Xenopus tropicalis: one gene and its partner. The protein of the gene in region 1 interacts with the protein of each later gene in a biochemical or structural test. Links are inferred from orthologs where the notes say so. Each region holds a gene or a part of one and is shown on either strand. Other genes may lie near its edges.

What was found.
Region 2: the proteins of cdk7 (region 1) and gtf2h3 form a complex in vitro, tested with the Homo sapiens proteins (2 studies listed by BioGRID). The link is inferred for Xenopus tropicalis from reciprocal best matches to the Homo sapiens genes CDK7 and GTF2H3.

What each region holds. Positions count from the first base shown.
Region 1 is NC_030677.2:186,223,631-186,226,562, reverse strand, and holds part of cdk7 (cyclin-dependent kinase 7), read left to right. Parts: intron 1-394; coding exon 395-513; intron 514-1,620; coding exon 1,621-1,720; intron 1,721-1,849; coding exon 1,850-1,936; intron 1,937-2,347; coding exon 2,348-2,497; intron 2,498-2,932. UniProt on the Homo sapiens protein: Serine/threonine kinase involved in cell cycle control and in RNA polymerase II-mediated RNA transcription. Cyclin-dependent kinases (CDKs) are activated by the binding to a cyclin and mediate the progression through the cell cycle.
Region 2 is NC_030677.2:160,973,215-160,977,782, forward strand, and holds the start of gtf2h3 (general transcription factor IIH subunit 3), read right to left. Parts: upstream 2,854-4,568; 5' UTR 2,809-2,853; coding exon of another isoform or gene 2,799-2,808; intron 1,227-2,798; coding exon of another isoform or gene 1,147-1,226; intron 731-1,146; coding exon of another isoform or gene 624-730; 5' UTR 517-623; intron 1-516. Other genes in the region: eif2b1 (translation initiation factor eIF-2B subunit alpha), read left to right, coding at 3,006-3,180. UniProt on the Homo sapiens protein: Component of the general transcription and DNA repair factor IIH (TFIIH) core complex, which is involved in general and transcription-coupled nucleotide excision repair (NER) of damaged DNA and, when complexed to CAK, in RNA transcription by RNA polymerase II.

The DNA of each region.
Region 1 (2,932 bases):
ACTACAAACTTTAGGACACCAGATTTGATATTCATGCACTGCTGTGATTTGGAATATTGCAAGTTATAAAAACTCTGCTCTTCCCTTAATTCAGATATTTTGTAGCTATGAAAATTTGTAGAACATTCTCATTCAAACCTAAATATTGTGATATGGTGGCACATGCTCTTATAGAAGTGACATGTGTTCCTTTGAGTTCTTGTACTCTAGTTTGGCTCTTGGATATGAGAGCTACACTAGGAGGCACTTTTTATATGTTTTATGGGCAAAATTCCATTTTTTGTCCTGGAAGAGGGTCTCACTAAGAGATGAGGCAGTCTGTCACACGCTGTATCCCACAGAAGGTCTCTTTTACAGTATATGGTTATGTATAATAATGTGTTTATTTTTATAGGACTTGAAGCCAAATAATTTGCTGCTGGATGAAAATGGGGTCCTTAAACTTGCTGATTTTGGTCTTGCAAAGTCATTTGGGAGTCCAAACAGAATATATACTCATCAAGTAGTAACAAGGTAGAGTTTTTCTATACCCCGGAGTGGGCTGCAGAGTATTGTAGGCACAACTACTTTATATGTTAATGCAGGTGAATGGGGAATGCTTATGGGGGTTATTTTTGTTTTTTCAGTTTTTGTTTATTGGTTGTTTTTACATAGGAGACAAATGTATACTCATCCCAGATACTGAACCCTGTACGCAATAATGTAGCACTCTCTCTAGTCAAAGGACATGTAACCCCCCCCCCTAAAAAATGTAATCCGTGAACAGCCTAATTTAAAATATCTAAATGCCTGCCAGTGTTGAAAGGTTAATAGTAAGGCTGCATCCCTTAATCACTTAGGATAACTTCTCCTCTACCCTGCTTGGCCCTCCCCTTAGGAAGTGACTTTGGCTTTTGGCTTCTGAGCATGCTCAGTTATATTCAACCAGTCAAGAGATGGCAGTGCTGGTTTCTATAGAAACTCTGCTCTATTTGTGTACTCTGCTGGGGTGTTCTGTCCTGAGCTCTGCTTAACCAATTAGTGCTCAATCCAAGCAGGACTTTTGTTAAAGTAAGTTCTGCCTCAATAAGCCTGCATTCTTGATGAACTTTACAGTGAATAAGTATCTTTGCGCACATGTAATGTTAGGCACCCCCAAGTGACTTTAATCGCTTACCTTTTACCCCGGGCTGGTGCCCCTGTTAGGAGCAAACCACACCAGCCCGGCGTACCTGCAGCGAGCGATTTCTTTCTTCCTGCTGCCAGCAAAATCCCTGGGCCGGCGCATGTGCAGTAGAGTGAAAAGCTGACTTTTTTGTTAAAGTCGCAACCAGGAAGAGGAAACACTCGCTGCAGGTGCCCCGAGCTGGTGCAGTTTTCTCCTAACAGGGGCACCAGCCCGGGGTAAAAGGTAATCGATTAACGTTACTTGGGGGTGCCTAACATTTTGGCACCCCCAAGTGACTTAGCCCCTCCCTCTCCTTTAAATTGGTATTGGAGTTGGTGAGGAAGATGTAGTTACCCCATTCATTGTATTTGAATTTTTGAAGCTTAATGTAAACTTTCTAAAACTGTCTGAAAATTAGTGTTGATGTTTTTAATTAGGTTAAGAGACAGTGACCATAAGCTTGTGTTTTATAGGTGGTACCGATCTCCTGAGTTGCTGTTTGGTGCTAGAATGTACGGTGTGGGAGTAGACATGTGGGCAGTTGGCTGCATCTTAGCAGAGCTGCTACTTCGGGTGAGTTACAGACACTTTTTTTTTTTTTTTTTTGCCATGGTTGTCCTAATCATGAACCTTTTACCTGTGGAACTACAAATCAGATCACCATAGTAACTAAGGTTTAATTTCTGTAATGTATTTTAAAAGGTGCCCTTTTTGCCTGGGGACTCTGATCTAGACCAACTTACAAGAATATTTGAAACTTTGGGAACACCAACAGAAGAGCAATGGCCGGTATGTAAACTCACAGTTGAAGGGAAATAATCGCTTCTGCTTTTTACACTATGTATAGATTCTGCATTCTGCCACATGGTGGAAACAAGAGCTGTAACAGCAGAGAATGGTTTCTGCTAAAATGCTTGAAAAATGACAGTGAAGCTGGCCCTTCCTATTGCTATTCTCTAGGAGCACTTTCTCCAGCCTGCATTTTTTTTATACAAACTTCTTCACAAAGGAAACAGGAGAAAGTGGGTTAAAAAAAACACAGCACAAAATCATAAGATTATAAAGGAAAGATAAAAAAGACAAAATAAGGGGAAAAGGTAGAGCTCATATATAGGAATAGTGTCTGTTTAATAATATATATGCTTTATCTGTTTTTTTATATATGATATTTAATATATCTATTTTTTTAAAATTGTACAGGGCATGTCCAGCCTTCCAGACTACGTTGCCTTTAAAAGTTTTCCAGGGACACCGCTCCACCATATTTTTATTGCAGCTGGTGATGATCTTCTTGAACTTTTGCAAGGCTTATTTACCTTTAATCCATGTGCACGATGCACAGCATCCCAGGTATGTAAAGTTGCAGCATTTGCTCACATAAAAAAAAAAAATTTCTAGTGTCCAAACGCTCTGTAGTGGTCAAAAAAGAAAATACATATGTTTGGTAAGGACCAGCAGCACTCTAAAATATAAAAACAACAAAATATCTTTTTTTCACATACCACTTGTGTGTCCATATATTACTATATATATATATATATATATATATATATATATATTACTATAAAATAGCTGTACTATAAATACATTTTATCGTAAGGGATAAAACAAAGTAACAGCCAGAGTTGGCAAGAAAATAGTTTTTGTTTTTTTGAGGGTCTCTTTTTGTTGAGAAACAACTGTACTCCTATCACATTTCAGACTCCGATTTGAACCCCATGCCTGTTCCCATGTAGAACGCAGCATGGATGCAGCCAATTCAGATGATCCAACTTGGTTGCTAGG
Region 2 (4,568 bases), about 25 Mb from region 1:
ACCGTCTCTTGGGCATTGCAGATATCCCTTATATGTACGCCCACACCAGACTTACCTACAACTATTTTACTATGCTAAAAAGGCCGTTTTTTGCACTGGCAGCAGACATCTGCATTGATGACACCTTACCATATCAGAAACGAACATATATTGCCAGAGACTGCCCCAATAAATTTCATGCCATCTGGGTTGCTTGGTAAATGCTCTAGCTCTACTAATTAACTTAATGCCTGCATACACTGTGGTACTAATGCTATTTACTTGCCACACCTTTTCTTACCTTCCTGCTTTCTTTCTTTTCCGTTTCTCAAACTATTGCGTAAAAGTTTGGGAAAATAATAACTTTTAAAAAAAGGGACCTATGTGTTGCTGTAGGCATAGTAAGGCCCAATGGTGTGGGTGGCAGTACACTTTCATATAAGTTAAACCAAGTGCAGAAATAACATAAGAGGAGATGAGGACAAAGGCAGTTAATTGTTTTTGCACTTGATTTACTAGTTATGAAGGAGTTGTTACCTGTGGTGCAACTTGTGGCCAATGGGTCCGCCTGCCACTCACACAAATGAGTGTTATTCTCCCTTTTAACTATTATTGATATTGGTACAGATAAAAGCTCTGTTTACCTCTCTTGAATATGACTGGCAATGACAGCAAGCTTGTTATTACGGCCCATAAATAGATGGGAATTCCCCATCACTATTACTGCATCAATGCATTTTGGAAGTGTTACCTGCCGAAAATAAAACATAAAAATGGTTATAACAAGCCTGCATATTAGCATATTTTTAAACACAGTTACATTGGGCTAACATGCCTGACAATTACATAATAAGCTGGATGTAATTTAAAGGCAACACAGAAGGAACTGATAGGATTGGATACAGAGAAATAGAATTGTATGTGATTGCCAAGCAATTAGACTGAGATGAATGGTCATGTGATTGTTGTTATGATACTGATCTGAAGCTGCTGCAACACTGCAAGACATTTGCAGTTGAATAGTCTGCTGTACATGGAGTACTTAACAACCAAATAAATTATTTTTTAGTGTGTGGGTAGTAAGCTCAACTTTTAACAGGACGGCTAACCTACCAGGACCACTTGTAAAATGCAATGTGTCTGGTTCATAAATGACTTTTTCTTTACCTCTGAATGATTAAGTGCCTGCTGACCCCACCAAATAGGATTCACATCAACAACAACAACCAAAAGATTCACGTCATCATCTGCAGGAAAGAAGGAATTTTTGAAATGCCTATTCTAGCAATAGGATGGGTGTCAGTTCTCTATTATCTTTAAAAATTCTACAAAGCATTTATATGCATTATGGTAAATCACTACCATCAACTGAATAATATATGCCTTTACAAATTCCTTTCAAATGTGTAACTATATTGAAGTTTAACAGTTCTCAAGAAACTTATTCCCTGCAGTCTGCACTTGACGCTGCTGGTTCATTCAATATATTTTTCTACCAAACTGGAATCTTTTAGGGCTGGTATCTACTAAAAGTTGGCAAGACCCATGATTCAGCATGGGATTCTATTGTATGAGAGCAACAGAGTTAGTTGGAACCATTGTGGGAAGCAGCTAACATTGATAAAGCACAGATGCCTATAGACTAGAAGTTATACAGGTAAATCTTTAATGTTATAAGCTATATAACATATGATAGTATAATTTACAGTAGCATATTCATTTAAGATGCCAGCATTATTAGCATGTAATAACATTTTTATACATATAGTGCAAACACACTTTATTATCATTTATCCTGCAAAATTCACAATTCAGGGTACAGCTACAATGGAGACATCTGTGGACCTACAATACAGGCAATATCTTAATGGCAGTTAGGGTTGGGAAGGCAATTTTACACAATGCTGGGGCAACACAAGATTTAAATAAATCCATGAGAAGGGGTAAGTGAAATGTCCGCTTGGTACAGGCAAATTTGCCTGTGTTCCATTTTAGGTTATAACATTTATCATTTTCATGCACATACTTTTATGCAGTGCGGCATTTGACATTTACTGAATAAGGTCCGTCACACTGGATGATGGCATTACCCTATATTTGGCAATCATATAGGAGTAGCACTGTATGTTGGCAAAGGTTTGTCATCTGCTATGCTACACAGACTTGTTTCAGAGAATAAGGAGTTGTTTGCGGCAGATTATTAACTGATTGCTCAGTTAATAAAAACTAGTGGGGGATCCAGTGGGGAACTGATTGATGTAGAAATAAAAATTGAACTAGGTTTCTAAAGTGTTTATAAAAAAGGCTGTAAAAGATGTTGTATTAGGGACCAGTACCCACTTGTTATGCCACTGGCCTAGACTGGCAATATGGATATTCTGGCAAATGCCAGTGGGGCAGCTGTTAGGTGCTATAGACTTGTGCTTTATTTTGGGCCAGTGGGTCTGCCTAGGCCACCAGTCCACCTGCATTAAATAGCTTATAATAAGTTGATATATGAATTGCATGCAGTTTCCAAATGATTCCTGAATGTGTCACTGAGCTGTAGGTCCGTTGTGCGCCTGTCAGCATGGGACATTTCCATAGCTACCCTGTAAGTAGTATTCTGTACTAACCGGAAGTGGCAATGGTATTATGGTGCGTATTTCTGGGTTTATATAGCGCAGGGCTTTATTATCATCCTGCACTTTTCACAATGCGCCCAAGCTCTGAATTGTTCTGAAGAACCCCAACACCAAGCATAGCCTGGCAGCCTCTCAGGCGGCACCCCCACACCGCACAGCCGCATTCATAAAATCCACAACACCCAGGTAACTCACCAGAAGCCATAGCAACTCTTCTTCTCAGAATGAAACAGCCATTGCACTGTCGCACTCCAATGACGTCGTCCGCGTAAGGGCGTCTTCTGTCAGCTCGCCATGCCGAGATTAACTCTGTCCTTGCCAGATGATAGCAGGCCGGCGTGGAGAAGCTTTTGGGTTGTAGGGTAGTAGCGACTTTTTCTTTCAGAGAACGCAGGCGGAACCATGAATGAAGAAGGTGAGGACTGGGGTCCGGGGTCCCGCAGCATATACACAAGCCGAGCGCCCCAGCAGTCAGGCTCACGGAGCGGGGGGTCAGGCCATGCTATATGGAATTCAGCGATAAAGTTATCTCCAAGCTGTGGGCTTCCAGCTGCCATTGGGATCTACCAACCTGCTGGTAAAAGCTCCACCGATGCAGGGTGGACACGCTACAGATACATTGCCGAAATATATCAAATATATAATATATGGCCCAATTACCAATGGAAGCAGCTGGCATGGTATAACAGTCTCTGTTGTGAAGGAGCCCTCATATTGTCAGCTCTTATGTTAACCCTATTGTCCCTGTGACATTATCATATCCCACAGCTACAGACAATGTTGCTTTATAAATAAACTATTACATGATATGGGCCATTCTCACTTAGTGCAGTATTTACTGCTGGTTCCCTGGCCCTGGCTTGGGTATATGGGATAATATAGAAAACAGCAGTAGAAATAAAGGGAAAGTGATGGAAGAGCAGTCGGAGCAAGGTTACATTCATTGGAATTTTGACTGTAGAGCCTCTTAAACAAACATGCAGGGAAGCTGTATAGTGTGAATATTTGCTTTTTATGTTTCAATTTTTTACCTCATAAGTCTAGATAGTATAGATATAGTATAGTATCGTAATATAGATACACATTAAGAGGAAAGAGTAGGGAACTCACACAGACGCCTACTATTACCCCAAATTGCTTCCTCAGTGCCTGGTTAAAACTCAAATATTAAAAGAGACTAAAAGGTTTGTAAAAAAAATGCCTGACATGCATTTAGCCAGAGATTTATTAAAGGCGAAACGCGCGTCAGGCAGTTTTCTAAAATCTCTTGAATATTGGGAGTGTGTAATAATTGGAATTTTGTCAAATTTGCACAAGACTTCTATAGGGTGTTTGTTCTTGTATCTTGTTGTAGTTCAACTACTAGTTCCTAGTTAGGTATTTGGGCCTTGGAAATTGGAATCATTTAAGTTTTCCTCTTCTGTAATATTGATATAAAGACAACTTTAATCACAGCACTTGTCACTTTAATCAAATTGGGGGACTGTAATAAGAAATACTATTGCATTAATATAACAAAAAGCACTAGTATTTTGTTTAGAAAAGTAAATTGAATAGACCTTGAAAGGTTGTCTTCTCTTTCTTCTTAATTTGTTATAGTTCGACTACACCCTCGCAAGGTAATCTGGTTCTTGGAATTTAAATAGATAATTCTGAGTAGGTAAAAACTTTTTACCTTATCAAAATATAGATACAGTAATTACATAGGGTAAGTTCATGGCATTTTACCTTTATAGAGCAGTGATCCCCAACCAGTGACTTGTGAAAATGTTGCTCCCCAACCCCTTGAATGTTGCTCTCAGTGCCCCCAAACCAGGTTTTTTTTCTTCAATTCCTGACTTGGGGGCAAGTTTTGGTTGAATAAAAACAAGATTTACTACCAGATAAAGCCCCTGTAAGCTGACAGTGTGCATAGAGGCTGCCTAATAGCCAATCTTAGCCCTTATTTGGCACCTCCATGAACTT